4 linked regions of the Caenorhabditis elegans genome follow. The protein of the gene in region 2 purifies or fractionates together with the protein of the main gene of each other region. This does not show direct contact. Each region holds a gene or a part of one and is shown on either strand. Other genes may lie near its edges.

Region 1 (7,682 bases), on a different chromosome or scaffold from region 2:
TATCCAGTGTATACTTATCCTTTTTCGTAAGAGTTTCGAAAAAATGTCCATAAAAAGTGTTGAATGACTTTTGTTCGACTCGAAGCATAACATACGATGCAAACGGAGAAATCGATAGCATCGAATCAGGAATAAGTGGGGATACTGTATTGTCGGATGAAAACATAGACATAATACCCTTTGATTGGTTCTTTTCAGCTGCGAGTTGCTGTTGATAAGCTTGAAATATGATACCAGTTATTTCGTAGAGTTTGTGGGTATCATTAACAAATGCAATACGAGCAATAGTTCCCACTATTTGATATGTAACTGCATCCTCATTCCAGCCAGTTCTTGCAGCACAAAGTAGTGTGATCCAAGCACGCAGATAATCTCTAGGAGGTAACTTTGCAGAATAGTAGGAAATTGCTGAACATATAAGCTTCACGATAGGAGTCGGCGTCGATGATGGTCCACTGAGCCATTGAACTGCATATGGAAGTTGATCAATGTGTAGAAGACGTTCGAATGTTGTCATGAAGCTGAAAATTAAGTCAAACGATTAGATTTTAAATTTGCATAAAATTACTTTTTATCAGCAGCCATCAAATTCACATTCTGATAATGTTGAGCAATAAGTCTTGAAAGTAAAACAACAGAAGCCACTGAACTTCCAGATGTTACTAAATCCGATAGAAGAGGAACTCCTTTTTCCAAGTACACAACCACATCATCTTCACAATTTTGAACTATCCTCACATAATGTGCTGTTAGATCATTTTGAACCAATGAGGAAGGTATCGTTGGAAGTTTGAGCTTTACGAGCAGGTCCCAACAAAACTGCTGGAACAACGATTCGGCGTCTCCAACTTTTGAAGCGAGTTTTGATATCTTATTTATAGACTTTGATATCATACTATTCGAACGTGAACAATGAACAGAATGAGCCTTGACCACAGTATCTGCTGCAATTGTGTGCACATCTACATCAATCCACAAGTTATGACCATCAACAGCCAATCCCCAATGCAATCCAGAAAGAACTCGCCGAGCAAGACGATTTGCTCCGTGTTCTGGAGGATTATTAATGAGCCATTTTCCTATGATGCTTATCATTGGTTCCGTTAATCGACATTCGAAAAGTCGTGATGATGATAAAACATTGATTGCATAGGAATCCATATGCTGAAGATTTCGATCAATAATAGTGAGCAATTGATGCAATGTTTCAGGTCTTTTTATAAGAATTTGTCCAATTGCTTCACCACCACATTTATACAAATCATCTCGAGTGTCTTCATCACAAAAGCAAACCTGCAAAAATGTAAAGTTTTTAGTTAAAAATGTTCAATCTCACATCAATAAGCTCTTTCAAAAGTTGCGAAACATCCGAATTTGAATAAGATCCAATTGAGGCCAATGAGTTGACAAGAAATTCTGAATCCTGAGCTCCAAGCGCACCTATTCGTTTTGAAATTCCTTCTGAAATTAATATGTTTATTATTTTGGTTTACTCTAAAGAAACTGACGACTACTAATCCTGGCGCGTACTTCACAAATTGGTGTATCATAAATCTCGTGAATAGACATTTTCTTATTCGATCTTAAAGCATATTCACATCGGCTTCTACATTCTTCGGAAACCACAGCATATGGTAACGACACCACAAATTGGAACAATCCAAGGGTGTCTTGATGAATCAAGTAATTTAGAGCTAGAAGTACAACTCGATCTACTTCTTTCTGAAGATGATGCTCTTCGCCTGGTCGAACTTGATCTCGAATAAGTCGCCAATTGGAGCAAAGTTCCCGAACGCTGTGCCTGAAAGAAAACACATTATCTAGGAGCCAAAGGATAACAAACTCACTTGAGACTTATTCCAATTTGCTTACAGAACATTTTATATCCGGGTTGAGAATAACTTGTCAAACCATTATCAAGAATCTTAAAAATTCAATGTTTCTATCATAAATTTAGATATTACTATACTTACTTTCATGAGCAAGAGCTGGAATGCAATCATAGCAGTAAATTGAGATCCTTTGTCAGAGTCTGAAAATTTGAAAATTTGAACGGTCTAAGTTTACAATTGCAACTTGAAACTTACATGAAGTGAAAGCAAGATAAGCAATTGAATAAAGCTCAGAAATCGGAAATTGATCAAGGAATGCAGTTAGATCTGATTCGTTGATTGTGACAAATGAAAACTCATTTGCTTCACCGTCATCGTCATCTGCAAGAATCTCCCAAGTTGACTCCTCTTTTTCAGATTGAGCAACATGGCGAAGGAAAGATTCTCGAGCTTTGATTGGGTTGAGGAGATGAGTGAGAAGTGCAACACAATAATCAAGCTTCAACTTTGGAGCAGATTGTGATTGAATGAAGGTTTGTACAAATGGAGAAGCCCATTGATCAATTGGAGATGGAAGACGTAAAAGGTGGCAAAGGAGGAATATACCGTCGTCGCATGATTGACGCATATTCAACACACATGTCTGAAACATTTTTTTACATAAACGTTACATTACGAACTTGAAATGATTTACCAATTCTTTGATCCATCCAACAAGTGTATCTATAAATCTTTTTGAAAGTCTTGGATACCGAAGATGATAGAATATGTCTGAAAGAGCAGTGCGAAGAGCAACTCTACCCGGTGTCATAGGTACACTGGCAATTACTGAAATACATTCATATTCAACTAGTAAGCTGTTGAAATAATAAACTCACAACTGGGTGGACAATTTGTAGACAACCCGTTTTCAGCCATGAAATTATTATTGATAATAATAACCTGCCATTGAATTTGTAGAGCAATTGATCTAAACGAAGTCTCTTCACAAACTGAATGATCCATCAGATTGCTTCGATTCGTAGAGAGAAGTTTCTTCATTTGATCCAGTACTGCCTGTTGCAGTTCAAAAGAAAAATACGATGCTCTACCTGTACCATCATTGTTGTCTCCACATTTTCCTTTTGCATCAACAGAAAGAGATTGTTGAACCCAACATTCTCGTAAACATTTTTGCAATTCTTCTGTATTCTCTTTTCCTTTCACTTCACTAACAGTCATTAGGTCACATACTGTTCTTAGTCTAGCTAAGAGTGGAAATAAAGATCCAGATTGAGTTGGTACTTCCTCAGTTTTAATAAACTGATCAACAAACATTTCGGCGTGCTCATAAAGGGGATTATGGTAGAATGTGACCAAGTTTTCTTCAGTCATTAAACCATGTTCATTCCGTTCGTAAGTTTTGATAGATGGATACATCGGAGGAGCTTCTCCCTCTCGTACACGCTCTCTCTCAACTGGTGCAGAAAATCGTGTTTTTTCCTACAAAAATAAAGAAAAATAATAAGGTTTCAGATTAAATACTTACTGGAATGGCAGTAGCTGAGTGTGAATGCTGAAGTCCTCCATTTATTGAAGGATACACTTGCGGATGTTGAAGCGCATCAGTATAGGATGGAAGTTCGGCTAGTTCGGGGACAGCTGGATATGAAGCAACTGCTACACTCCGTTTTGGTGCTACCGCTGTAGTTGATTCTTTTCTAGATTCAGCAACCATGCTGGTACTTCGTGGAAAGATCATACTTCTTGGAGGAATTGGTGGAGCTTCTCTTTCTTGAGAAACACGCTGAAAACAAATGATTCATATTTTGAGTTTTAGAATTTCAACTGACTGGTGGTGGAGGGGCTGGTCGAACTGGACTACTTCTCACATCTTTTAAAGGTTCAGATGCTTCTTCGCGTTTCAAGGAATCTTCGGTCAAGCTTATATCCCTGGAAACGTATACATATTTTTCAGTTCAATCGTTATTTTACCACTTACTGATCTTCAGGTTCCGGTGATGCTGATCTTTCTGGTAAATCCTCAATAGTATGTGATGGAGCCTGAAAATAAAATCAATATGAAACAAAAAGTTTAGTGGTATTGTTATTACCGCAGGGAGTCTCAAACCATTCACAATTGCAGGACGATCTGGTATTGGGGGTGTATAATCACTTTGTGCTCGCTCTCGATGTTTTGGCTTTTTTGGACGAACCAATTCCGCCATTTTGAAACTAAATTAATATATTTTATTAATTTTTCTTATAAAAAGAAATGCGACAAGTACAGTACGAAGTCAACAAATTAATTCAATAGTCGAGGATTTCAACTAGAAAATATAAAAAATCTGTATAGCAGGATAAATTGCTCTATTTCTGCATTTTTTAGTATGAGTCACGAAAAAAAGTGGTCTGACGGCAAATAAAAACCCGAATTGAACTGAACACAGCACGTGAAGAGGGAAAATGACGACAAATACGCAATGTCCGTCGTCGTGTTTGCGGACCAAACCATTTTTGTGAAATCGATCGGGAGCCCGAGCACTCTACCGATTGAGAACAGTTGATAACTATAGTATAGATTCGATGAGAACATTTATTATTTTGAAAAAGTTTTTACAAAATGTCCCATGATTTTTTTTTTAATATAACGACATTGACACTGAAAAACAAATAAATTTATAGTTAGAATGCTTCGAGAAGAGAAATGATAAGAAAACGATGTGCAAGCATTTTGCTATTTCAACGTCAATGTCTACATGATTTATAACAGGAACTTAGATTGAAAATGGATTTTATTTCGGAAACAATCGAAAGAAAAACATATTTTCTTTTTCATAGTTTTTTCCTTCTGGGAATGGTCTGCAACATACGTTATGTTTTCGTGAATAGTAGATTTGAAACAAACGAGATCTTATGAATTTCGAAATCTAGAAACAACATGGTTTACTTTTGTGAAAACCTAATAACATTTGAAGGCTATTTTTAATAATGCCTCTCACCTTTTGCCAATCTCTGAAATTAATGCTGAAATTAAAAATAAGGTTTATCATTAATATTTAAAAACTACGTGGAGCATTCCAATTTATATATTTTTGGATCATGTCACGGAGCAATATTTTTGTAGTTTCCAAAAGCAAATCCCTTTTTCCCAAATCGCAACTTTATTTTTTAATGTCCATTGGTTAGTTTTAGGAGTGTGAATGAATGTTTCAAATCTCTAAACGGTTTATCTACGAGAAAGTACACAAAACGTGAGAGAAACCAGACACTTTTGACAGGTAATTAATAGACAGTTAGTGTGAATTTCTACGATTGCCAAACCAATTTCTTCGTTCAATTCGCACACTCACACATGAGTTTATCGTTGATTTGTCCTTGCGCAATTGAAACATTTCCTCGCTTATCTGCCACATCATCCGGACATGAGATTAATGAGATTTTGAATCTGAATTGAACAGGATATCAATTCAAATGAGAGACGATCAATGAGCAAACCATTAGAAAGCGTTTAGTCTGAAGAAATTGGTTACTGTATTGTAGGTAAATGGTTTGGACTACAGTTGGATAACGTTTTACAGGAGATAAGTTTGACATGCTTCGTATCACATGAAGATAATATTTTGATAAAGATGTTTGTACATAATGATTTCAGAATTCAGAACAATTCTGGCAGAAATGCACGAAATGTTTGAAAGAAGAGCTCCAAGAATAGTCTTTCACATAGGCACAAAAACGACTCTAGTACCAGATTCAAGTGTCTTTTTACCTTCCTTGAGTCAAATTTGGAACGTGGGGCAACCTGACAGTTTCTGACAATTATATAAAAGGATTAAAAAACCTGAACTAGTTAATTTAAAATTTAAATAATATGAATAATTCTTCAAACACCGGAAGCTTGTTTAAATAATACATCCAGTTCTAATTTTGAAGCAATTTTGTAAAAATGGTAACTTTCATTTCAGCATGCTTCTCCCTTTTAATTTATGTTCATCAAAGACCCCATCCGAAGGAATTCATAAATTTTTATTTGTTCATCAAAAACCTGGCATCTACAATTCACGCTTTCTTTGAGGATATGATCTACCGCCTGAAAGTGTGTCCGTACAAGACAACCCAAACAAAGTTTATTCAGCAATGATTAATCGACAGAGACGTTCGCGCATTTTTTCGTGAGGAAGCGGCACTTTGTGAGTGTAAGATTTGGTCGGGACGGCGAATTGTCCCTTTGACAAAAAATTGGAACGAGAAAGGAAAGATTAGAATGTTGCGATCATATGGAAGATGATGATGTATTTCTTAATAGAGCAATGTTCTTTTTTTTTAATGTTTATGAAACGATTCGAGTTCTAATTCCCAGACGTAAAATTGATAATTAATATTACCTGAAAAAGTGTCCTTCTAATCAGTTTCTTTATAATTATCACCCAATTGTATTTCTTCTAAATGTGATGATCTCATGAACTAATGATTGCATCGACACTTCACAGTACCACTTAATAATGATAAATGGGAATCGATTCGTCTTAATTGGCTCTCTATCTGTGCCTCTGGAAAAAGAAAAGAATGAAACCTTTTCTTGAGATGGTGTAATATTCAATCAGAATCCCGTCCCTCTTCACAATCTTCCAACATCTTCATTCGAACACACACTATGTGTCACCCCGTCTCGCCCAATCGCTCACTATTTCAGCCATTGAATCACATTACTCGCCACATTTCGAGGTGAGCGGTTCGCCCGCAACAATCAACTAAATGTTGCTTTTGAGAAATTGAGAGCGCCCGTTGGCATACCGTACTCCAATGTCTTTTAGATGTTTTTTTCTGCTTGCCGCGTTGAAATACTTGTTCATTGGCCCAGTGGACTCAAACCGTGTTACAGTAACCTATGATGTTTTGCTGAGGCATTGAATACCTTATAGCAGTAGAACCATGTGTCACAGTATTGGATTCCAGAGGAACATTTATATTTTCTTGTTCGGTAGCTTTATTAAAGGAATGTATACCATTACAGAGAATCACTTCTTATAATTACCCTACATGAATTCAAGAATTGTGATAGAAACCTTTAGCTTGTAAAAATTGCATAATCTAAACTCTTGGTGAATGCGGTAAATTTATAATATCATTCTCGGGCCAAAAAGTCATTAGGTATTTGAATCTGGGTGCAACTTGTGGGAATTTGTCATTAATTTTCCTAAAATGGCCCAAAGGTTTGTTAAAAGAGTTAACAAAAAATACGTAGAGTTTGAGAAAAAGCAAAAAGAAAACGCGCAACTTCTAATTATTAGTTGGATCGTTTTCTATTGATTTTTATTATATATTTCAAAAACTGTAGAAAATTAAACTGTTGTATTTTTTGATTTCCAAATATAGTATATTCCCTCGATTGGTAATTTCAAATTTAAGAACATAGTAAGATTAGTTATTAAATTCAATATAGCATGCTGTCTCCTCGTGAAGCCGCATGCTCATTGACAAAATTTTCAACTGATTGCGGTTTTCTTTTATTCACGGACTCATTCTGTTGCAATTTAACGAATCACTACATTTTCCACCTCAAACTTCGATCATTTATCAGTCTGTGGGCATCTATACGCACGTAAAATTTGTATGCCTGTCTGTTGTTGAATGTGTGATGATCATGCACAAATATTACTTTCTCGTGTTGTCTAAATGTAGAAATGTCGGCATCTGAAAAGAGGAAATAGAAAGAAGAAGTGATAAAAAGTTCAAGTCATTTCGACACTAAAAATTAATATTCTATTTTGGAATTTTGAAAATTATTCGATAAATAAGTAAGTTCGGAATAATGTCAATGGATCTTTATATTTTCATTTAGAAAAGTTTTATTATCAGGGGGTTTTTCAA
Region 2 (6,970 bases):
CTACAACACTGATACAGTATTCCGGAAACACTATTACAGTACCACTACAGTGCCCCTAAAGTACTCCTACAGTACTCATACAGTACCACTACCGTAGTCCTACTATATCACTACAATACTTATGCAGTACTACTACAGTACCACTACAGTACTCCTACAGTATCATTGCAGTTCTACTACTACATAACCACTACAGTAATCCTACGATTCCCCTATAGCCTGTCAAATCGCTTGCTCTTTGATTATGATTTCTGATCTTCTATTAGTCATAGGGAAACAATATTCCCTTCGTTCCCATCACATTACCACCTTCGCCCCCAACATTAGCATAATTCGATTTGTACGTATGGTATATAAGACGCTATACTGTGCATATAACATGGTTCAAGCATCAACCGGTTCTAGATGTAGAATCCCCTACCATCCTTTCTGGACCCTCCACCCCTTACTGATCCCTTAATATATACACTATTGTTTCCCCCCTTCTTCTTATTCATAAATAAATATTTGGCCTTATTTCCTTGTCCTCCTACCTCCTAGGACATAGCCACCCTACAGCTCCCCTACATTAATCATACAGTAGCCCTACAGTAACCCTGCAACAATCCTACAGTACCCATACGGAACTCTTGTAGCACCCCTACAGTAATCCTACAGTACTGCTATAGTACCACTATAGTAACCCACAGTACTTTTAACTAAAAAAACGAATTTTTTATGAAAATAATAAAAAAATTTCCAGGTAGTCTCCTCCATCACGGCATCTCTACGCTTTGACGGTGCTCTCAACGTGGATTTAAACGAATTTCAAACCAATCTGGTCCCCTACCCGAGAATCCACTTCCCCCTTGTCGCCTACAATCCACTGATCTCTTCAGCCCACCACGAGTTCCTATCAGTTGATGAGATAACGAAAAGCTGCTTTGAAGCCTCAAATCAAATGGTAAAATGTGACCCGAAGCACGGGAAGTATATGGCTGTATGTTTACTGTATCGTGGAGACGTTGTGCCGAAGGATGTGTCGGCTGCGATAAAATCGATCAAAACTCAGAGATCCGTGCAGTTTGTGGACTGGTGTCCGACTGGGTTTAAAGTTGGATTGAACTATCAGCCGCCTACAGTAATCCCGGGTGGGGATATGGCAAAGGTTCCACGGGCGGTATGTATGTTGTCGAATACTACGGCAATTGCGGAGGCGTGGCAGAGATTGGACTATAAGTTTGATTTGATGTATGCCAAGAGAGCTTTTGTGCATTGGTGAGTTCAAACGTTCATAGTTCAGCTAAGAATAGAATTAGCAAAATGTTGTCAACTAGCAAAATATAGAAAATTTAATTTTAAATATTTTGTTAGTTGACAATTTTTTGATAGCGTTCTTCACCGCTGAGTTAACCAAGTTTGAAGTTAGACAAAACTGCGGAAGTGTTGCCTCAACTTCAAACTATCATAACACAGCTGAGAATAGAATTAGCAAAATGTTGTCAACTAGCAAATTATAGAAAATTTAATTTTAAATATTTTCTTAATTGAAATTTTTTTGATAACTTTCTTCACCGCGGAGTTAACCAAGTTTGAAGTTAGACAAAACTGCGGAAGTGTTGCCGTAACTTCAAACGTTTATAACTCAGCTGAGAATAAAGTTATCAAAAAGTTGTTAACTAGCAAAATAGAGAAAATTTAATTTTAAACATTTTGTTAGTTGACCATTTTTTGATAACGTTTTTCACTGTCGAGTTAAGCAAGTTTGAAGTTAGAGAAAGCATGAGGGAGCTGTGGGAGTGATGCCTCAACTTCAAACCGCAATTAACAGCTCAGAATAGAGTTAGCAAAAAGTTGTCAACTAGCAAAATGAAGAAAATTAAATTCTAAATATTTCTCAAGTTTGCAACTTTTTGATAGCTCTGCTCATCGTGGAGTTACATAGGGTTTTACAAGACCAAAGCTGAGATACGCGCTTCTATTTAATGTCGGCTGCCCAGCAGCCCAGTGCATGACCCGTAAAATGTCGAAACACCTCTTTGTCAAAACACCTCTTTGTTCCAGGTACGTTGGCGAGGGAATGGAGGAAGGCGAGTTCTCCGAGGCACGTGAAGATCTGGCTGCTTTGGAGAAGGATTATGAGGAGGTTGGCGCGGATTCCGATGCTAATGATAATGGGGATGATGAGTATTGAAAAATAAAACTTTTTATTGGAAAGCTATTAGGTGATTATTGATTATGTACAAATTAACTGACAAAAGATAGATTAAAGCATTTTCTATTCAATTCTAACAGATTCGAAATCACTTCCCCCGTTGGATTCGGTAGCCGTGACACGATATGTCTGAAATTCCGAAGCTTAAAATCTAAGAGCTCTCCATAAAAATAAAACTCACAGCCTTAGCTCCTCCATAATATACTGGGCACATAGATTCGCACACATCCTCGAGATCATTTCCCTCCTCAACACTGCACCACGACTCTTGGAATACCACGACGAGATTTGTTACTGCTCCATTTTTATCCGAGCTCTGGATCTCGATGGGTACCCAGAACTTCCCGCGGTTGCCGTTGTTGACGCTGGTGGCGGCGGCTTCCCAAGCGAGGCCCTGTAGAAGACAAATTTTTAAAGTTTGCTTATTTTCCGAGTTACAAGAATTTTTAAATTGTAACAGGGGTAAGTTAGCTTTCAGTCTGCAAATTTCAAAAGCTTGTACCTAAGCGGGAGAGCGAAATACCAAAAAGTTGTCAACTAAAAAGTGGTGGAAAATGAAATTTGCTACATTTTACCCGCTGGCAACTTTTTGATGGCTTACGAACTCGCCAAGGTATACCCGTTTTAAGGAACCGCCAGCCAAAAAAAATTCTGAGACTTATTTCAAAAAAAAACCAAAAATACAGTAACCCTACAGTACAACTACAGTAATCTTGTAGCACCACTACAGTACCACTAGCTCTCCCTACAGTGCCTCTGCATTAATCCTACAGTACTCTTACAGTATTTCTACAGTACTATTACAGTATCCCTACACAATAATTACTGTAATCCTACAGTAGCCCCTACAGTAGCCCTACAAAAATCCTACAGTAACCCTGCACTACCCGTAAAGTACTCCTACAGTATTTCTACAGTACTATTACTGTAATCCTACAGTAACCCTACAGTAATCCTATGGCCACCCTGCATTGCTCCAAAAGTGATCCTACAGTTCCCCTACTCCCCCACCGTACTCCTACATTTAGTCCTACAGTTTTCCTACAGTAATCCTACAGCACTCCTACCGTACCCCCCTCCTCAGAGTACAACTACAGTAATCCTACAGTAATTCTATGAACACCCTACATTGCTCCTACAGTACCACTACAGTAATCCTACAGCTATCCTACAGTACCCCTACAGTACCCATACATCACTCCTACAGTAATCCTACCGTACCCTCACAGCACCACTATTTGTTAGTTGACATCTTTTTCATAGCCTATGAATTTTCCAAGCTATACGCGTTCCTCTTACAGTCAGCAAACTTCTAGCGTGTCTATCTAAACAGGAAAATAAGGTACAAAAAAGTTGTCAACTAGAAAATTGTAGAAAATAAAATTTGCTACATTTTTTCAGTTGACAATTCTTTGGTATCGTGATTATTCAGGAAGTTATAAGTGTTCAAAGCAAAACTAAGCAAACTTCTATGACCTATAAATGGTGGCGGTGGGCAAATGTTACGAAAAAAAAACCAAAAAAAAATCAAATTCTCACCAAAAGCTCATCGTCAACATCTCCATGAATTGGTGCAGCAAATGAGCATCCAACAATGCAAAGGGCTAGGAGGATCTTGAACATTTTTAAGTAGTTTTGGACTGACACAAAAAACTGAGCGCATTTGGCCATCAAAAGTTCCTTTTTATATGGACAAGACCCTTCTTTCAGGTCAGGTCAGACGAAAGATCGAAACCGTTTAATTTGAAGACAAGAAAAAAACGGAAACTTTTCTCTTCCTTCTCCTCCGGTTGCTGCTGCTGGCGCCAGTGTTCTAAACTAGCTCATATCTGTCTCTTATCATATTAGAACGTTGTCTTTAACGCTGTCTCTTTTCAATTTTTTTTTCTTCCAGTTAATTAGCTTCAGATGAGCTCCATTTGGTGGAAACCGGTTACGGTTTTTCATTTTTTGGTCGCAGGTTTATTGAAACTAACGGTCTGAATGGGGTTTCTTAATGGGAGTGACCGTTGGTTGTAGTTTTGGAGGAAATTGGATAGAGTCAGGTTTCTTGTTGAGGAACGGCAAACCGGCAAATTGCCAGAATTGAAAATTTCCGGCCAAGCGGCAAATTGTGGGAATTGAAATTTTCGACAAATTGCCGAAATTGAAATTTCCGGCAAATCGGCAAATTGCGAGAATTGAAAATGTTACTTTTTTTTTAGCTTTCAGTGAATGTTTATTATTAATTTTCAATAATAATACTGACAATATGAGAAAGATTTTGGGTAAAAATTCGAAAAAAAACTGTGACCGAGTTAATGACATACAAAAAAGCACCGGTTAATAAAGATCAAATTCCAAAAAAAAACTATTTTTTCAGCAAAGAAAATATGAGATCAATGATTATTATTATCAATTCTATGAGGCATTCTCAGTGATGATGTGGCTTTCAGGATACGCTGTTTACTGGCGTCGAGTGGGCTATTGGGGACACTTGAGCCAATTCCAGATGATCCGGATGAGCCATTTACAGATTGGAGCAGAGAAACTATTGGCTCGTTGCCAGAAATCATGGCCACATCCATGGCGGTTCGTCCCATAGAGTCTTTGATCTCTGGTTCGGCGCCAAATTTGAGGAGCAGGTTGACAAGATCGCGGTCGCCGATTTGCGCGGCAATGGAGAGAGCAGTGGCACCCTGGAAATTGGTACTGTATCTTATCTAGAATGATAGGTTTACTGTTGGTAACAGTACCTTAGGCTACTGTAGGATTAAGGTTACTATTTTCTAGCAGTTCTGTTATACAATAATGGCTACTGTAGCTCAGGGGTACTGAAGGATTGCAGTAAGCAGAGGATACTATACTCTAGCGACTCTGTGATAATATGGTAGGATACTGGTATTGTATACATGATCCTTATTTAGTTGGACATGATTGTTTTAGGCTAAGCAAACTATAGTTTATGGGTTACGATATCTTAGGGTTACTGTAGAACTACGGCCAGTAGGTTAAGACTACTGTAGTTTAGGGTACTGTAGGACTAGTGAGTTAACATACCTGTCGATCCGTTCGATTCGGGTCAACTCCACAACTATCCAACAAGAACACCGAAATCGCCACGTGTTTCGCCCAAACTGCAGTCATCAAAGCTGTACGCCCACCTCTATCAACTGCCTCAAAATTTACTCCACCAATCCTCTTCAGCATTTTCGCTGCCGCCACGTCATTCGTCGAAGCGACCACGTGTACACAAGTTCGGCCATGAGCATCCGAGTCGGATGAGTTGGCACCATGGCCTAGATAAACCTCGGCCACGAAGATCAGATTGGAGAGGATTAGGGTGTGGGCTAGTGGGGTGCCATCGTGGTCCCGTTGGCTCCAATCAGTGATGCGAGGGGATATCAAGTCGATTATTGAGGTATGAGCTGCCATTGAGGCGAGGGATAAGGCAGTGCGACCTTCGTGGTCAGGTTGGTTGATTATGTCGGAGATCCCCATTAGGTACTCCAGGACCTGAAAAGATACATTGTTGTTTGGTGACCTTACAGAGCAAGAGGCCTTATTTCGGCTTGATCTACGTAGATCTACAAAAAAATGCGGGAGACGAGACGCAGAGTTCTCAACTGATTTCGCATGGTTAAGAACGTGCTGACGTCACATTTTTAGGGCGAAAAATTCCCGCCTTTTTGTAGATCAAACCGTAATGGGACAGCCTGACACCACGTGCTTTCGAAAGCTATAAACAATTTTTTGAATTTCTTAGAATATTTTTTAACATGTTCAAATTTTTGCAACAAGTTTTATTATAGTTTTTAATTCCGCGCCAAATTTTTTGGATTAATTTTAGAATGTGTTTTTTTTTGAAAATAAATTGCAGCATTTTATCGTTTTATCGAGCATAAATTCGAAAAATAAAAAACTTTTTCGAACCTAATTTTTACAAGTTTTCTGGAACTTTGATTTTAATTTTTTTTTTAATATTTTGAACTTGGCCCCCAAAATTGCAATTTTTTTTAAATTTTTGAATTTTCTATAAACAATTTTATTCGATTTTCCTACCTTCAAATTTCCATTAGCCGCCGCAATCATCATCGGATGTTGTCCATATCGATCCTTTGCCTCTACCGTATGCTGATTCGTCAAATGCTTTACCAGCTCCACATGATCATGGGTAACAGCATAGTGTAGAGCCACTGCACCATCATTATCCTTATGTCCCTCATCCGATCCAACTGAGCACAAGAACTCTACCACCTCCGGGTGACCATTAATAGCCGCCCATTGAAGAGCAGTTCGCCCATTGTTATCGATAGCATCTACGTCTGCTTTGGCGGTTTTTGTCAAAAACTGAACAGCTTCCAATTGACCTTGACTAGCAGCTAACATCAATGGAGTTTGTCCCATATTATCCATGACGTCAACTATGGGGTGCTTCTCAAGAATCAATTGGAGGCAGGGGTCCCCGTGGTAGGCGGCCAGGTGCAGGGCCACGCGGCCGTTGGCATCTTCAATTTTACAGTCCGCGTTGTCTGTAAGATTTTATTGTAGATTGTAAAAAATATTTTTTTTTTAAGTTTTTGGAACATCCTGAAAACTCCCAAATTTCCTATAAAAATTTTGGACCAAAAAATTTCAATTATCCGCTAAAATATCTCAATGATTTGAACTTTTCGCAAAACTTGTTCTGGGAAAAATTGGATTTCCCCCAAATATGTTCTCTAAAATTGGAATTCCTCGCCAAAAATTATGTTTAAATACTGGAATTTTCAGGAAAATTTTTCTCCGTAAATTTGA
Region 3 (6,070 bases), on a different chromosome or scaffold from region 2:
AGCCTTTGATTTCTCGCCGTAGTGCAGAAATGAGGCGAGAGGTCGGCAGGTTGGAAGCGGGCGTAAGGCCCCAAAACCTCGCCTGCCTCCCATGAAAGCCCTAACTCACCGCTGGTGAAATGGGTATCGCATGACCAGAGCACGAAAAAAAGTCATAAAAACTGCAAGCCAAACTGACAAGTCTGAGGAAAGCATTTCTAATGAACTCAAGGCTAGAAAAATTGACATTTCAAGATATGATTGTGGCGGAACACTGAAATCCTCTACAAGAGTTTAAAAGTGATTAGTTTCCAAAATTTACCATTTGTCTGAAATTTCCAGCGTTGAAAATTCATCATAACACATTTTAGAAAGTGAGACAACTGTGGAAGTCATACGAAAAAAGTCACAAATTGCGATTCCGATTAAGAATACTGTAACTGACGAGTTTCTCATCGATTTTCAAGTGAGAACTGCTAAATGGAAAATATTGCCGAATAATCCAAATGTCGCAATTACAAGACTGGCATGATCAAGGTATAAACTGTACCTGCTGCAAGAAATTGACTTTAATTTGGGGTTTGGGATAAAAAAAGTACAAACCTGGCAAAATTCATGATAGAAGTCCAAAACATCTTTTCTTTTCCATCTAAATCCTCAAAACCAACGTAGTCATAATATTCTGAGTCGCCGTTCGGCATTTTAGAAGTATGTTGTTCGTTTTATATGAAATTGGACGTTCAGTTATACGTTCAGTTTCACCGAAAGCATTTTTACATATGTTTTTTCAGACAAGGTATTTCAAAAATATGCATCATCATGCTTGTCATCAAAACAAACGTAATGAGCAAAGGTTTTTAGATTATTAGCAAAACACAAAATATATATTCCAATCTATGTATCTGTATGACTTTTTATATCGGAAAATGTTTAAATACAAATTGTAATATGGTTCAGATAATACCAGGAACCTTTAACCGGCATACCTGCGTCAGACCTACCATGTGCATGTTTCACGCTTGTCACGTGCCTGTATTACGTTTGCTTCTTGTCTGTATATTCTCTTGACAAATGCGAAAAATTCTGAAAATAAACACGAGAACACAATATTTCAATTTAAATAATGTTTATTTGGACAAAATCTTAAAATATAAAGAGAAGTTGCACACAAAAGTGCTAATGCAAAGCAAAAAAAAGTAGAAACAAAATCAAATATAACATAGAGAAGAATATGAAAAGTATTGACAAAATTTTCAAGCAAGTACACGATAAACGTTCCAGCAAAGGAAACAAGGAATACGCCAACCTTTTTTCGTGCAACACGAAATGAGGTGACAAGCGAATTGAGAATTTAAAAGTGCTTGTAGACGGAAACTTTGACAATAAATACGGATATCCCCACTGGGAACTCGCCAGGAAATATAAAAAAGAAGAAACCTAAAAAGTGCTGAAAACTTAAAGAGTGGGCGATAAAATTATGATGGTGAATAAAAACAAAGTAATTTAAATTAAAAACATAAAAATTAATATTTAACAATACAACTAAACAACGGGAACAAAAATTGCATTGATCAATCAAATTTGAATAGGCAATAACTAAACTAGCTCAGATTTAATCCTCAGCGGTTCAACTTGGGTGGGGAAGTGAAACAAAGAAAGAGTTTACGAGAAGAGGCGACGTACAATAAAATGAAAATAAGGCGACTGGGAACGTGGGGCTTATACAAGTTAGGGGATGTTTCGAAATTTTGTTTTTTTTGTTGTTTAATTTCGACTGTTTAATTATTATTGGTTCAAAATTTTAATTTTTTTTATCGTTATGGTAAAATTGGAGTCGGTAAAATTGGAGAAACGTTAAGTTTTGATTTAGCAATGAATATTTAAAGGTTGAAAGTGATTTTTAAGTATTAAATTGTGAAGAAAAGTATGCCTCCGTTGCTGGAGTGTTCGCGGACTCTTCTTCCATAGATCGCCATCACTTTTTCCTTTATTACTGGAACTTGGTTTAGTGAGCTACTGCCTTTGCCAACTATGGTTGTAATTTCTGTAAGTATTACATAATCAAAAGGCTTTACGCGACAAATAATTGATTCTTGAGACACGTTTCGTTTTTTTTTTTGCGTTTTGAGCATCGTGAGACCTAGGTCGCTTTTGGTCAATAAAATGTTCTATCAGAGCTGTCTAAAGTTTACTTATATTTTTTTACTAAAAGGTTATTTCAACGAATCAAAAACTAAAATTAAAACTCTTAAGACATTAAGAATAAGAAGAAAGTACGAAATTAGAAACGTTTAGTAAGCTTGAATTTCTAAAACTTCAAACCCAGGAAATTCTTAATCTTTTAACAGAAACTATTACTCATTGCGCACCCTTTTTAGATTTATTTACGACCAGACTTTAATTTTTAATATTGAAATTATTTCATATGTTTATAAATGCAACTAACCTTTGTATTTTTTTCCAAGTCCAAGTTTTCCAAGTTTTTCCAAGTACTGTCCAAGATATTCTTCGATGAAATCCTCAATCTGGTCCTGCATAAGGTTGTGAAGTTCTAAGGTTGGCTGGAATCCGTATGGAATGTTCTTAAAGTCTCGCAACTGTTCATTTCTTTCATAGACATTCTTCCTGATCTTTTCTTTTTCTTTTTTAATGGCTTCATAAATTTTGTCATTGTTTTGGTTGTTACGATTCAAGTCTAGTTGTCTTTGGAATTCGGAAATTTTTTCCTGAAAAAATCACATTAATTTTGCGAAAATTGCAAGAATCAAAAGTGGAGAAACGTCTGTTTCAAATGCGAAAGGGAGTATTTTTAAAATAAAAACGGTGCGTTCAAAAAAAAATATGTTTTTTTCGTTTTTTTTTTTGAGCGCCGATTGGTAGGTCTAACAGTAAAACCGATCCAGTATTCAACCCATTTTTCCTTTCGCACATAATAAAATTATAAAAACTCACATAAGATTCTTCAATATTTTCCAATTTCCACTTATTGGCGATTAATATTTCGCGAGCGTCGTCCAGATTATGTTTGCAATAGCATAGGATGTAGTGAGCAAACCAGGGGCTAATTCCGTATCTTGGCGTATCCATGCAGAATTCATCAACAAGGATTGCTAAATACTTTTTCTGAAAGAAAAGTTAAATCTTTATAACGAGCAAATCGTAAGAAAACAACTTACAGAATTAAGAGACAGTTTTTTTGGAACTTTTTCAAGTTTAATAATGAGCTTATCCCATTCGATGGCTCTGTTGTAGCTCATATGATCGGTTAGTTCCTCAGTCATCCAATGCTTTGTTAATTTTATCAAGATATCCAAGTCGCGTAAATGCATCTGAAATATCAAAAAATTTCAAAAACTTCATTTCGCAATAAGGTAATTATCGATATCATTGAAAAAAAGCACGCTGGGAAAAATCAGAAAAAGAAACTAATGAATTTTGTCAGAAAACGCAAAAACGAAAGGTTATACACGTTTGCGCTGCAATTTAAAATAAGTCGAAAATTTCAGTCATTTCTAATTTTTTTTGTTGCAAAATAAAAAAAAATAATTAAAAATTTATGAGCGTTCTATAATTTTTTAACATTTATATTCGGACATTGCGACCCACATTTGATAATTTGAAGCAAAAAACTAAAGGACTCTACTTCAAAACGAAAATTTCACATTATGATGTCACATTATGATGTTAAAAGTAATAAAATATAAAAGGTAAACAGTGTAGAAGTGCGTAGAAGAGGCATTTTCGTTAGACAACCAATTTTTTAAGGAAAAATCAGAAAAAGAAACTAATGAATTTTGTCAGAAAACGCAAAAACGAAAGGTTATACACGTTTGCGCTGCAATTTAAAATAAGTCGAAAATTTCAGTCATTTCTAATTTTTTTTGTTGCAAAATAAAAAAAAATAATTAAAAATTTATGAGCGTTCTATAATTTTTTAACATTTATATTCGGACATTGCGACCCACATTTGATAATTTGAAGCAAAAAACTAAAGGACTCTACTTCAAAACGAAAATTTCACATTATGATGTCACATTATGATGTTAAAAGTAATAAAATATAAAAGGTAAACAGTGTAGAAGTGCGTAGAAGAGGCATTTTCGTTAGACAACCAATTTTTTAAGGAAAAATCAGAAAAAGAAACTAATGAATTTTGTCAGAAAACGCAAAAACGAAAGGTTATACACGTTTGCGCTGCAATTTAAAATAAGTCGAAAATTTCAGTCATTTCTAATTTTTTTTGTTGCAAAATAAAAAAAAATAATTAAAAATTTATGAGCGTTCTATAATTTTTTAACATTTATATTCGGACATTGCGACCCACATTTGATAATTTGAAGCAAAAAACTAAAGGACTCTACTTCAAAACGAAAATTTCACATTATGATGTTAAAAGTAATAAAATATAAAAGGTAAACAGTGTAGAAGTGCGTAGAAGAGGCATTTTCGTTAGACAACCAATTTTTTAAGGAAAAATCAGAAAAAGAAACTAATGAATTTTGTCAGAAAACGCAAAAACGAAAGGTTATACACGTTTGCGCTGCAATTTAAAATAAGTCGAAAATTTCAGTCATTTCTAATTTTTTTTGTTGCAAAATAAAAAAAAATAATTAAAAATTTATGAGCGTTCTATAATTTTTTAACATTTATATTCGGACATTGCGACCCACATTTGATAATTTGAAGCAAAAAACTAAAGGACTCTACTTCAAAACGAAAATTTCACATTATGATGTCACATTATGATGTTAAAAGTAATAAAATATAAAAGGTAAACAGTGTAGAAGTGCGTAGAAGAGGCATTTTCGTTAGACAACCAATTTTTTAAGGAAAAATCAGAAAAAGAAACTAATGAATTTTGTCAGAAAACGCAAAAACGAAAGGTTATACACGTTTGCGCTGCAATTTAAAATAAGTCGAAAATTTCAGTCATTTCTAATTTTTTTTGTTGCAAAATAAAAAAAAATAATTAAAAATTTATGAGCGTTCTATAATTTTTTAACATTTATATTCGGACATTGCGACCCACATTTGATAATTTGAAGCAAAAAACTAAAGGACTCTACTTCAAAACGAAAATTTCACATTATGATGTCACATTATGATGTTAAAAGTAATAAAATATAAAAGGTAAACAGTGTAGAAGTGCGTAGAAGAGGCATTTTCGTTAGACAACCAATTTTTTAAGGAAAAATCAGAAAAAGAAACTAATGAATTTTGTCAGAAAACGCAAAAACGAAAGGTTATACACGTTTGCGCTGCAATTTAAAATAAGTCGAAAATTTCAGTCATTTCTAATTTTTTTTGTTGCAAAATAAAAAAAAATAATTAAAAATTTATGAGCGTTCTATAATTTTTTAACATTTATATTCGGACATTGCGACCCACATTTGATAATTTGAAGCAAAAAACTAAAGGACTCTACTTCAAAACGAAAATTTCACATTATGATGTCACATTATGATGTTAAAAGTAATAAAATATAAAAGGTAAACAGTGTAGAAGTGCGTAGAAGAGGCATTTTCGTTAGACAACCAATTTTTTAAGGAAAAATCAGAAAAAGAAACTAATGAATTTTGTCAGAAAACGCAAAAACGAAAGGTTATACACGTTTGCGCTGCAATTTAAAATAAGTCGAAAATTTCAGTCATTTCTAATTTTTTTTGTTGCAAAATAAAAAAAAATAATTAAAAATTTATGAGCGTTCTATAATTTTTTAACATTTATATTCGGACATTGCGACCCACATTTGATAATTTGAAGCAAAAAACTAAAGGACTCTACTTCAAAACGAAAATTTTGAAATTTACCTTATGAAGCAAATGATTTGAGTTTAATGCAAAAAGGATGTTTTAGCGGACTGCGAGGATAAATTGAATTGTATAAAACTAATGATGATAGCAGTCTAACCAACAAGTTTTAAACCAAAATATTTCGAAATATGGTAGTTGCTCTGTTATCAGTTTCCTCAGTCGAAACAAAATCAAACAAGACTTCAAACATTTATTCAGCGTATGCAATTTGTCGGTGAAGGGAAATATTGATTTTTCCCCGAGTTCATTAAAAAACTAGAGAAAATTCTCGAATTCTG
Region 4 (10,666 bases), about 11 Mb from region 2:
GCAAATTGCCAAAAATGAAAATTTCTGGCAAATCGGCAAATTGCCGGAATCAAAAATTTCTGGCAAATCGGCAAGTTGCCGGAATTAGAACTTTCCGGCAAATCGACAAATTGGCGGAATTGAAAATTTCGGGCAAATCGGAAAATTGCCGGAATTAGAACTTTCCGGCAAATCGACAAATTGCCGGAATTGAAAATTTCCGGCAAATCGGCAAATTGCCGGAATTCAAAATTTCCGACAAATCGGCATATTGCCTGAATTGAAAATTTCCGGCGAATTGGTAACTTGCCGGAATTGACAATTTCTGGCAAATCGGCAAATTGGTGAAATTGAAAATTTCCGGCAAATCGACAAATTGGCGGAATTGAAAATTTCGGGCAAATCGGAAAATTGCCGGAATTAAAACTTTCCGGCAAATCGACAAATTGGCGGAATTTTAAACTTCCGGCAAATCGGCAAATTGGCGGAATTGAAAATTTCCGGCAAATCGGCAAATTGGCGGAATTGAAAATTTCGGGCAAATCGGAAAATTGCCGGAATTAGAACTTTCCGGCAAATCGACAAATTGCCGGAATTGAAAATTTCCGGCAAATCGGCAAATTGCGGAGATTCAAAATTTCCGACAAATCGGCATATTGCCTGAATTGAAAATTTCCGGCGAATTGGTAACTTGCCGGAATTGACAATTTCTGGCAAATCGGCAAATTGGTGAAATTGAAAATTTCCGGCAAATCGACAAATTGGCGGAATTGAAAATTTCGGGCAAATCGGAAAATTGCCGGAATTAAAACTTTCCGGCAAATCGACAAATTGGCGGAATTTTAAACTTCCGGCAAATCTGCAAATTGCCGGAATCGAAAATTGCTGGCAAATCGGTAATTTGCCGAAAATGAAAATTTCTGGTAAATCAGCAATTTGCCGAAAACTAAAATATCTGGCAAATCGGCGAATTTTCCGAAAATGAACATTTCCGTCAAATCGGCAAGTTGCCGAATATCAAAACTTCTGGCAAATCAGCATTTTGCAGGGAATTAAATTATCCGGCAAATCGGTAATTACCGGAATCGAAAATTGCTGGCAAATCTGCAAATTGCCGGAATCGAAAATTTCCGACAAATCGGCAAATTTGGCGAAAATGAAAATTTCCGGCAAATATGCAAATTGCCAAAAATGAAAATTTCTGGCAAATCGGCAAATTGCCGGAATCAAAAATTTCTGGCAAATCGGCAAGTTGCCGGAATCGAAAATCGTCAATTCTTGCCGATTTTCCGTAAAATAAAATTGCCGTCCACCGCTGAAAAGAGTTACAGTACCATTTTTTGGGAAAAATTTGGTATTATTGCAAAACCTGGCAATTATCGATTTTCGGCCGGATATTTTTGAATTCAAATTTTATTTAAAAAAAATTATTTTCAGCCCAAAAAAGCTGACCTTTTGGGATTTTTCCAAAAATTTCGTATTTTCGATGGAATTTTTCAGAGTTTTCAGCTCAAAAATGCCAGAATTTGAAATTTGCTGTCAGATTTTCTAGAAAGTTTTTCTTTTTTCAAAAAGTTTGGTGCAAAAAATCAAATTTTTCTAAAGAATTACCCCAAAAATCCCAAAAAAAAGTATAAAATTACAGAAAACCAGCAAAAATCGGAAAAATTCAATTGTCAAAATACGATATTCGAGCAATTCGGAAGCTGTATGGACAATAAAATATGGACATTTCAGTTTTTTTTTTTTAATTATAGCTTTATACTAACAAAAAAAACAGGTGGAATTCAATTTTAAAAAATCAATAAAAACTCAATAAAACAACAAGAAATGCGGGAATCCTATCTATTGAACTGATAAATAAAATAAAATAAAAGATTTAAAAAATGGAATTCTGATGGGAAAACGACTAAAAATAGAGAAAAAACAATGGAAATTTTCCGCTTTTCCGGCTTTTTTCAATGAAAAATTGAAAAAAATCGGCTACTCGTCTGGTGTGATGTTGTCGAAAATTTGGCGTACTTGTTCGTCCTCCTGAAATAAAAAATACAAATTTTCTCAAATATTTTCGAAATATTCTGGATTTCTTGAAAATTTCTGATATACTGTTGAAGTTTTTTGAAATTTTATGGAATTTTTTGTAATTTCTTGGAATTTATTGAAAATTTCTCATTTTTGAATTTTTTGATATTTTTGAAATTTTCTGGAATTTTTAAACATTTTCTGGAATGAAAAAAATTCGAATTTTCTTGAAATTTTTTAGATTTTTTACGGAAATTTTCTGGAATTTTTTAGAAATTTTTTCTGAACTTCTTGAAAAAAAAAATTTCTAGAATTTTTTGAAATTTCATGGAATTTTTTGATATTTTTGAAATTTTCTGGAATTTTTAAACATTTTCTGGAATGAAAAAAATTCGAATTTTCTTGAAATTTTTTAGATTTTTTACGGAAATTTTCTGGAATTTTTTAGAAATTTTTTCTGAACTTCTTGAAAAAAAAAATTTCTAGAATTTTTTGAAATTTCATGGAATTTTTTGATATTTTTTGGAATTTTTGCGAAAATTAGCGGATTTTTCAGAAAATTTCTGGAATTTCTTGAGATTTCCTATATTTTTTGGAAAAATTTCTGATTCTTTTTAGAAATTTTTTCTGGAATTGAAAAAACATTGTCGAACATATTTTTGAATGTTTGAACTTTTCAGAATTTCAGACATTTTTTAGGAATGTTCTGAAATTTCAGAACATTCAGAAAAAAATTGAAAATGTATTGAAAAAATGTCAAAAATTGGAAAATTTCAAAAAATTACCATAGAATTCCAAAAATCTTTCGAAAAATTTTGGAATTTCCAGAATTTTTCTAAATTTTCTGTATTTTTATTAATTTTTCTGGAATTTTTGAAAAAGTTTTGAAATTGTCTGGAACTTTTTTTTTTATTTTCAAACATTTTTTTTAGGAATTTCCTGGAATTTGTTACAATTTTCTCAAATTTCTTGAAAATATATGGAATTTTTAAAGAATTTTTTTGGAAAATTCCTGAATTTTCTGATTAAAAAAAACATTTTCTGATGCATTTTAGAAATATCTGAAATTTTTTGAAATCTTTTTGGAATTTTTTGGAAAATTTCGAATTTGTTGAGATATTTTTTGAATTTTCTCATTTTTGACATTCTTTTCAACACATTTTCGAATTTTTTAGAAATTTTCTGCAATTTTTTGTAATTTTTTGGAATTTTTGAAATATTTTAGAATTTCTTGGATTTTTTAAAGAAATTTGTGGAATTTCTTGAAATTTCAAATTTTTTTAAAATTTCTGAATTCTTTGAAAATTTCCGGAATATTTTTTTGAATTTTCTGGAATAAAAAAATTGTCTAATATATTTTTTTAAGTTTTTAAATTTTCTGAATTTTTTAAAAAATTACGGAATTTTCTACAACTTTCTCTGCAATTTTTCTCGGTTTTTTCAATTTTTTTTTTGATTTTTTGTCCAAAAATCTTAGTTTTTTCTCGAGTTTTTCCCGGAATTTTTAGTTTTTCCAGTACCTGAAGCATTTCATACAACTTCTGAACCTTTGGCTCCTCAGCTTCAGGACAATCAATTGGATGAACAGGTCGGAATTCAATTTCCGACTGTAAAATCGAGAATCCACCCTTTCCGAGGCCGTTTTCAAGAGTTTGAAGTGATTTTGCATCACAAATTAGTTCGAATTTCTTCGTTGAGTCCTCTTCAATCAGTAAAACCTCTTCAGCATCGAATTCCAGACCGATTTCTTCCATCTGAAACACAAAAATCGATGAAAAATCCAAAATTTCACTAATTTTCGAGTTAAAAACCGATTTTCCTGGTGAAAATCACGCCGGGAGCTGTTTTAAAATAAATTTTACGTTCGAAAAATCAATTTTCAGTCGAAAAATCGTGTTTCTCGTTATTTTTCACCCCAGCTAGCCGATTTCTAGAGATTTTCTGTCATTTGTCGTAAAATATGATGCCTAATCGGTGTTTGCACGTCTAGAGCTACAGTAACCCAATAAACCTCAAAATTCAGCTAGAAACCCAAATTCTTCACTATTAAGTACGTTTCTACCTAGTTGGATAAAACATTTCAATTTTCTTAGATTTTCTGCAATTTGTCGTAAGATTCGGTGCCTGGTCAGTGTTTGCGTACTTCTAGAGCTACAGTAACCCAAAAAACCTCAAAATCACCGTTCGAAAAATCAATTTTCAGTCACAAATTTTGAGTTTTCAGTCTAAAACTGAGATTTTTCCGTTTTTTTAGTTCTTTTAAGCCGAAAACCTCCGATTTTTAGAAATTTTCTGCATTTTTCCGTGAGATTTGGTGTATTGTATTGGGGTACGGTAGTCGGTTTTGCGTACTTTTGACGGTACAGTAACCCGTTTCTGAACGAAAATTCTCAATTTCTACGTGAAAAACTGAATTTTTTTCATTCTTTGCCAATTTTTATTGAGAAAATCGCGCATTTTCAGCGAATTTGACCCAAAAATTAAGTTTTTAAAGATTTTTTCGAGAAAAATCTAGTTTCAGCTGAAAAACTGCGCATTCTTATAGAAAAAATCGTGTTTCTTGTCATTTTTCACTCTGGAAACCTCGTTTTGCGAGATTTTCTGTCATTTGTCGTAAAATATGATGCCTAGTCGGTGTTTGCGTGCTTCTAGAGCTACAGTAACCCGGATAATTTCGAAATTTAGCTAGAACTCAGATAGAAATTATCTTAGGCAGAACGTAGTCGATTAAAGTTAAAATTCAAATAAATTCTGCAATTTGTCGTAAGATTCGGTGCCTTATCGGTGTTTGCGTACTTCTGGAGCTACAGTAACCCAATAAACCTCAAAATTCAGCAAAAACCTCAGACAAAAACGGTTTCAGGTTGAATTAAGCCGCGTAAGTCAAAATTACAAAAAAATTCGCAATTTGTCGTAAGATTAGGCGCCTAGTCGGTGTTTGCGTATTTCTGGCGCTACAGTAACCCGAAAAATCTCAAAATTGAGCTAGAACTCCGATAAAAAGGAATCCAGGCAGAAATTTGCCGATTAAAATTGAAATTCATATAAATTCTGCAATTTGTCGTATCCAAGCCGGTGTTTGCGTATTTCTGACGCTACAGTAACCCGGGTATTTCAAATTGAGCTGAAATATCAGATAAAAATGCTACCAGGAAGGAGAAAAAAGAGCATTATTCAAAATTTGAGCAAACTCCGCAATTTGTCGTAAGAATCAGTGCCCAATCGGTGTTTGCGTACTTCTAGAGCTACAGTAACCCAAGAAACCTCAAAATTAAGCTAAAACCTTAGATAAAAATGCTTTCAGGTAAGAATTAGCCGATTAAAATTAAAATTCAGATAAATTCTGCAATTTCTCGTAAGATTCTGTGCCTAATCGGTGTTTGCGTACTTTCGGGGCTACCGTAACCCGGACTTTTTTAAAATTGAGCTAGAAACCCAAATTCTTCACTATTAAGTACGTTTCTACCTAGTTGGATAAAACATTTCAATTTTCTTAGATTTTCTGCAATTTGTCGTAAGATTCGGTGCCTGGTTAGTGTTTACGTACTTCTAGAGCTACAGTAACGCAAAAAACCTCAAAATTGACCTAGAAACTCCAAAAAAAACGCCGTTAAGCTCCAAATTTTCAGGAAAAAACAGAATTTCAGCATAAAATCGCCCGTACTTCTTCAATATTCAGAATTTTTCCGCCTTTTTTCGTGTCAACATGCACAACACCCTTCTCCTCGAACCAACTACGAACACCACCATCAGCTGCCAACCGGAAACCGCCCAACTTGTTGAAATACTTCCGTAAATCGTTTTCAAACGCTTTTTTGTTCGAAGTTTCGGCGGTTACGATAAGGAATATTCCAGATGGTCCAATGATATCGAACGAGTATTCTACTTCGGGCTTGTCCTGCAAAAATTCGGGGGATTTTTGGAGTTTTTGTGGAAAAATAGACAAAATTTTGCGGTTTTTAGGTTAAAAATCAAGTTTTTTCACTCTTTTTTGCGAAAAAAATTGCATTTTCTGCGATTTTTCATCATTTTTCCTCATTTTTTCACTATTATACCTTCATTTTTTGCAAAAAGTTCTTCAACGTGTCCAGTGGAAGTCCTTGTGCTCTGAATTCGGACTCCAAATCAGCGAGTTCTCGATTGAGCTTCATGTCGAACCCGCCACGAGATACTGCTCCACGGACCTGGAAAAAAAAATCGCTTTTTCTAGGAATTTCTGAGCAAAATTTCAATTTTTCGTATTTAAACTCCATTTTTTCGTACTTTTTACGCCGAAAACCTAATTTTTTGAAATTTTCGGCTTTTTTTCGTAAGGTGTGGTGTATTGGGTACGGTAGTCTGTGTTTGCGTACTCTTGAGGCTACAGTAACCCAAATTTATGGATTTTCTGCAATTTGTCGTAACGTGTGGTGTACAGGGTTACGGTAGTCCGTGTTTGCGTACTTTTGTTGCTACAGTAACCCAAAATCTTGTATTTTTGAGAAATCTGATGGGAATTGTCAATTTTTCTGCAAAAAAATCGTAAAATCTTGGTGTTTGCGTACTTTTGTGGCTACAGTAACCTAAATTTTTCGGATTTTCTGTTTTTTTCCGTAAGATCTGGTGTACTGGGTTACGGTAGTCCGTGTTTGCGTACATTCGGGTCTACAGTAACCCAATTATTTGGATTTTCTGCATTTTTCCGTGAGATCTGGTGTATTGGGGTACGGCAGTCAGTGTTCGTGTACTTTTGGTGCTACCGTACTAAAAATCGCTGGATATTCATGGTTTTTAATCGAAAATTCGCTTTTCTCGGTGTTTGCGTACTTTTGGTCCTACAGTAACCCGAAAACCTACCTTTCTGAGTAAAAAGTTGGTTGCCTTCGACCGAATCAAATCATTTTTTCCCTTCACCGCCTTAATATTCTGCCATTTCGAGTGCCCCTTCTGCTGAAAAACCGTCAAATGCACAGCTCTCGCCGGCTGAAATTGTTGGAGCTTCTGCAATTTCTGAAGCTTCTGGAGCTGGAGACCCGTTGTGGTGAGCCGACGGAGCGGGGAGAACATCTGCAAAAAATTGGGGGAATTTTGAAATTTCAAGGGAAAAATCCCGGAAAAATCGATATTTTCAGGTAAAAACTACCATTTTAAACCGAAAATTGGCTGAAAATCGGAAAAAAAATTGAAAAACCGGTGATTTTTTTCAAAAGGAGAACGAAAATTATGAGATACAATTGAGAACATTTTCAAAAAAAAATTAATAAATTAATGGAGGAAAACTGGTAAAATATGGTAAAATACGAGGGAAAATTAATAAAAAATCGGGGAAAAATTGAGATTTTCCATGGAAAAAATGAGAAAAAAAAAGAGCATTTTCCAGTGAAAAATCTAGAAAATTAGCAATTTTAAATTTTAAATTAATTTTAAATTAAGAAATTCAATTTTACGGTCAAAATTCAGAAATTTCGCTGAAAATTCCACATTTCAGTGTTTGCGTACTTTTGGGGCTACAGTAACCCAAAAATATTCGAATTTTTGAGAAAATTCACTGAAAAACGGACATTGTAGTGTTTGCGTAATTTTGTGGCTACAGTAACCCAAATAATTCGAAAATTTTGAGAAATTTCACTGAAAATTGCGCATTTCAGTGTTTGCGTACTTTTGGGGCTACAGTAACCCTAAAATATTCGAATTTTTGAGAAATTTCACTGAAAAACGCCCATAACAGTGTTTGCGTACTCTTGGAGCTACAGTAACCCGAAAATATTCGGATTTTTGAGAAATTTCACTGAAAAACGCCCATAACAGTGTTTGCGTACTCTTGGAGCTACAGTAACCCAAAAAACTTAAATTTTTGCGAAAATTTACTGAAGAACGGGAATTTTAGTGTTTACGTACTATTGGGGCTACAGTAACCCAAAAATTTGATTTTTTTTTGAGAAATTTCACTGAAAAACGCCCATAACAGTGTTTGCATACTCTTGGAGCTACAGTAACCCGAAAATATTCGGATTTTTGAGAAATTTCACTGAAAAACGCCCATAACAGTGTTTGCGTACTCTTGGAGCTACAGTAACCCAAAAAACTTAAATTTTTGCGAAAATTTACTGAAGAACGGGAATTTTAGTGTTTACGTACTATTGGGGCTACAGTAACCCAAAAATTTGATTTTTTTTGAGAAATTTCACTGAAAATTGGCTTAAATATCAATTTTTAGCGATTTTTTTTGTTTTTCACTCATTTTTCACGGTTTTTTCTCAAATTTTTACAAATTTTCCATGAAAAATAGCTCAAAAATCAAAAAAAAAATCTAATCAACATATTCAACAACACGTTCAAATCTCTTCATAATCTGCGAATCGTGAACCATTTCCTTATCCAACAACGAAACACCCAGCTGATGCTCCTTTTCGAATGGCTGAGCCATTAGTGTGAGCCAACGCCTGGCAACTTGTGCCGCTTCGTCAATGCTCAGATTGGTACAAGCTGGCTCCAGGTATTCCTGCATCCAGCGGGGCAATTTTCCACGTTTGTCGTTTCGGGAGAATCTCTGAAGAAAATTACAAGTTTTGAGGGGAAACATGGAAAATTTGGGCAGAGGTTCCCCGGGAAAGTGGTCAAATGTGCTCTCTGTGAGCAATTTCGGGTGAAAATTCCAAATTTTTGCATATTTTTATGCTAAAATTTGAAATTTCCACACAAAAATCACCGACATAACACATTTGCCACGGAAAATATTTTTCAAATTCTCTAGAAAAATGGGCGGAGCATCACAAGCCACGCCCATTATATGGTCACTTTTCAAAGCTTCAAAATTTTGAATTTTGAAAATAATTTCGCATTTTTAAGCGAAAATTTTCAATTTTGGGGACGAAAAACTATATTTTTTGCGATTTTTGGCAGATTTCTAATAAAAATTTCAGAAAATTGGGCAGCTGGTGAAATTCTTCGTATTTCTTCAATTTTCCGCTATTTTTTTCAGCCAATTTCAGATTTTTTCAGAGTATCTCTACAATTCAAATCATTTTCCGAATTTTCCGTCCAAAAAAAAAATGAAAATTTGGGCAGAGGTTCCCCGGGAAAGTGGTCAAATGTGCTCCCGGTGAGCAATTTCGGGTGAAAATTCCAAATTTTTGCATATTTTAATGCTAAAATTTGATATTTCCGCACAAAAATCGCCGACATAGCACATTTGCCACATGGTACATCAGAATTTCAGCGCATTTCAAGCTGAAAAAAATCAGTTTGAAACTATGAACATTAGTGAACTTTCGATATGTTTTTAACAAAAATCGTGGAATTTTTCTACCAAAATCCAAAAATTTTTTTGAATATTTTTTGCAGCTAAAATGGAAAAAAAACTTGCTTAGCTTTTCAGGTTTTTTAGTGAATTTTGTGCAAATTATTTCAAAGTGTTCTGATTTTCCAGTGAAAAAAATCAATATTTAGCTTTTTTTTCAAATTCTCATGCCACGCCCACAAAATGGACACATTTTTTGTTGAAAAATTGCCAAAAAATTTTCAAACAACTTTTTCTGGTTAAATTTCGTGATTTTTTAATCGAGAATTTTCTGATTTTTCTGATTTTTTTTCGGGAAATCGATAAATCTCTTTATTTTATACCTTATCAGCAAATACCATCAATCCGTAATCAGTTTTCGAACGGAGAGCTCGTCCCATACATTGAGCAGTGTGTCGCATTGCGTCAAATGTCAGAAAATCATTTTCTCTGGAAAAATCATCAAGTTTTGGTAGTTTTTAGGCAATTTTTTCACTAAAAACTCCAAAAAATGTTAAAATTTCATTTGTTTTGAAGCTTTTTTTTTGCAAATTTTGTCGTGAAATCTGGTGCGCGCTGGGATACGGTAGTCGGTGTTTGCGTACTTTTGGAGCTACAGTAACCCATAAACTTCCAAATTGACTGAAAATGCACAAAATTCGAGTTTCTCGTGATTTTTAATTCCGGAAACTCGATTTATAGGGATTTTCTGCATATTGTCGTAAAATTTGGTGTGCTAGACGGTGTTTGCGTACTTTTGGAGCTACAGTAACCCATAAACTTCCAAATTGACTGAAAATGCACATAATTCGAGTTTCTCGTGATTTTTAATTCCGGAAACTCGATTTATAGGGATTTTCTGCATATTGTCGTAAAATTTGGTGTGCTAGACGGTGTTTGCGTACTTTTGGAGCTACAGTAACCCATAAACTTCCAAATTGACTGAAAATGCACAAAATTCGAGTTTCTCGTGATTTTTAATTCCGGAAACTCGATTTATAGGGATTTTCTGCATATTGTCGTAAAATTTGGTGCGCTAGACGGTGTTTGCGTACTTTTGGTGCTACAGTAACCCGGAAAGTTCTTGGAAATTGAATTTTAGGTGAAAATTCGCGATTTTATTGAATTTTTGGCTGAAATTCTCATTTGAACTGTAGAAAATTCCTACTTAATTCCAAATTGATCTCTCAAATACTCCAACCGGGCTCTGAGTACTCGGCTCTCGGTGTACATATACGGAATTCCAAGCATTATAACACATCGACCTGAAAAATTGAAATTTTTCGGTTTTTCTTGAAAAATGTGAGATTTTCAGTGATTTTCACTGAAAATCTGCTAAAATTTAATAATTTTTCGTGGTTTTTGAGTGTAAATTGCACATTTTTCGCAGTTTAGAGCCAATTTTTA

The links.
Region 1: the proteins of pugs-8 (region 2) and epg-5 fractionate together in Caenorhabditis elegans (co-fractionation; one large-scale study listed by BioGRID). This does not show direct contact.
Region 3: the proteins of pugs-8 (region 2) and K10G4.3 fractionate together in Caenorhabditis elegans (co-fractionation; one large-scale study listed by BioGRID). This does not show direct contact.
Region 4: the proteins of pugs-8 (region 2) and taco-1 fractionate together in Caenorhabditis elegans (co-fractionation; one large-scale study listed by BioGRID). This does not show direct contact.

Annotation. Positions count from the first base shown.
Region 1 is NC_003280.10:6,605,318-6,612,999, forward strand, and holds the start of epg-5 (Ectopic P granules protein 5), read right to left. Parts: upstream 4,049-7,682; 5' UTR 4,040-4,048; coding exon 3,926-4,039; intron 3,876-3,925; coding exon 3,814-3,875; intron 3,765-3,813; coding exon 3,665-3,764; intron 3,619-3,664; coding exon 3,361-3,618; intron 3,315-3,360; coding exon 2,711-3,314; intron 2,661-2,710; coding exon 2,527-2,660; intron 2,476-2,526; coding exon 2,088-2,475; intron 2,033-2,087; coding exon 1,974-2,032; intron 1,925-1,973; coding exon 1,848-1,924; intron 1,802-1,847; coding exon 1,509-1,801; intron 1,462-1,508; coding exon 1,337-1,461; intron 1,294-1,336; coding exon 569-1,293; intron 522-568; coding exon 1-521.
Region 2 is NC_003281.10:11,363,637-11,370,606, reverse strand, and holds pugs-8 (Cystatin domain-containing protein), read right to left. Parts: upstream 3,854-6,970; 5' UTR 3,818-3,853; coding exon 3,734-3,817; intron 2,589-3,733; coding exon 2,376-2,588; intron 2,324-2,375; coding exon 2,258-2,323; 3' UTR 2,174-2,257; downstream 1-2,173. Other genes in the region: tba-7 (Tubulin alpha chain), read left to right, coding at 743-1,257, 2,044-2,173; T28D6.4 (Nephrocystin 3-like N-terminal domain-containing protein), read right to left, coding at 4,573-4,872, 5,234-5,689, 6,236-6,705.
Region 3 is NC_003283.11:17,261,646-17,267,715, forward strand, and holds K10G4.3 (uncharacterized protein), read right to left. Parts: upstream 3,311-6,070; 5' UTR 3,309-3,310; coding exon 3,156-3,308; intron 3,103-3,155; coding exon 2,932-3,102; intron 2,706-2,931; coding exon 2,421-2,705; downstream 1-2,420.
Region 4 is NC_003281.10:280,498-291,163, reverse strand, and holds taco-1 (Transcriptional regulatory protein), read right to left. Parts: upstream 7,048-10,666; coding exon 6,838-7,047; intron 6,186-6,837; coding exon 6,057-6,185; intron 5,900-6,056; coding exon 5,666-5,899; intron 3,756-5,665; coding exon 3,522-3,755; intron 2,014-3,521; coding exon 1,963-2,013; 3' UTR 1,701-1,962; downstream 1-1,700. Other genes in the region: Y50D7A.13 (Peptidase metallopeptidase domain-containing protein), read left to right, coding at 1,625-1,700; xpd-1 (General transcription and DNA repair factor IIH helicase subunit XPD), read right to left, coding at 8,291-8,530, 9,604-9,709, 10,428-10,524.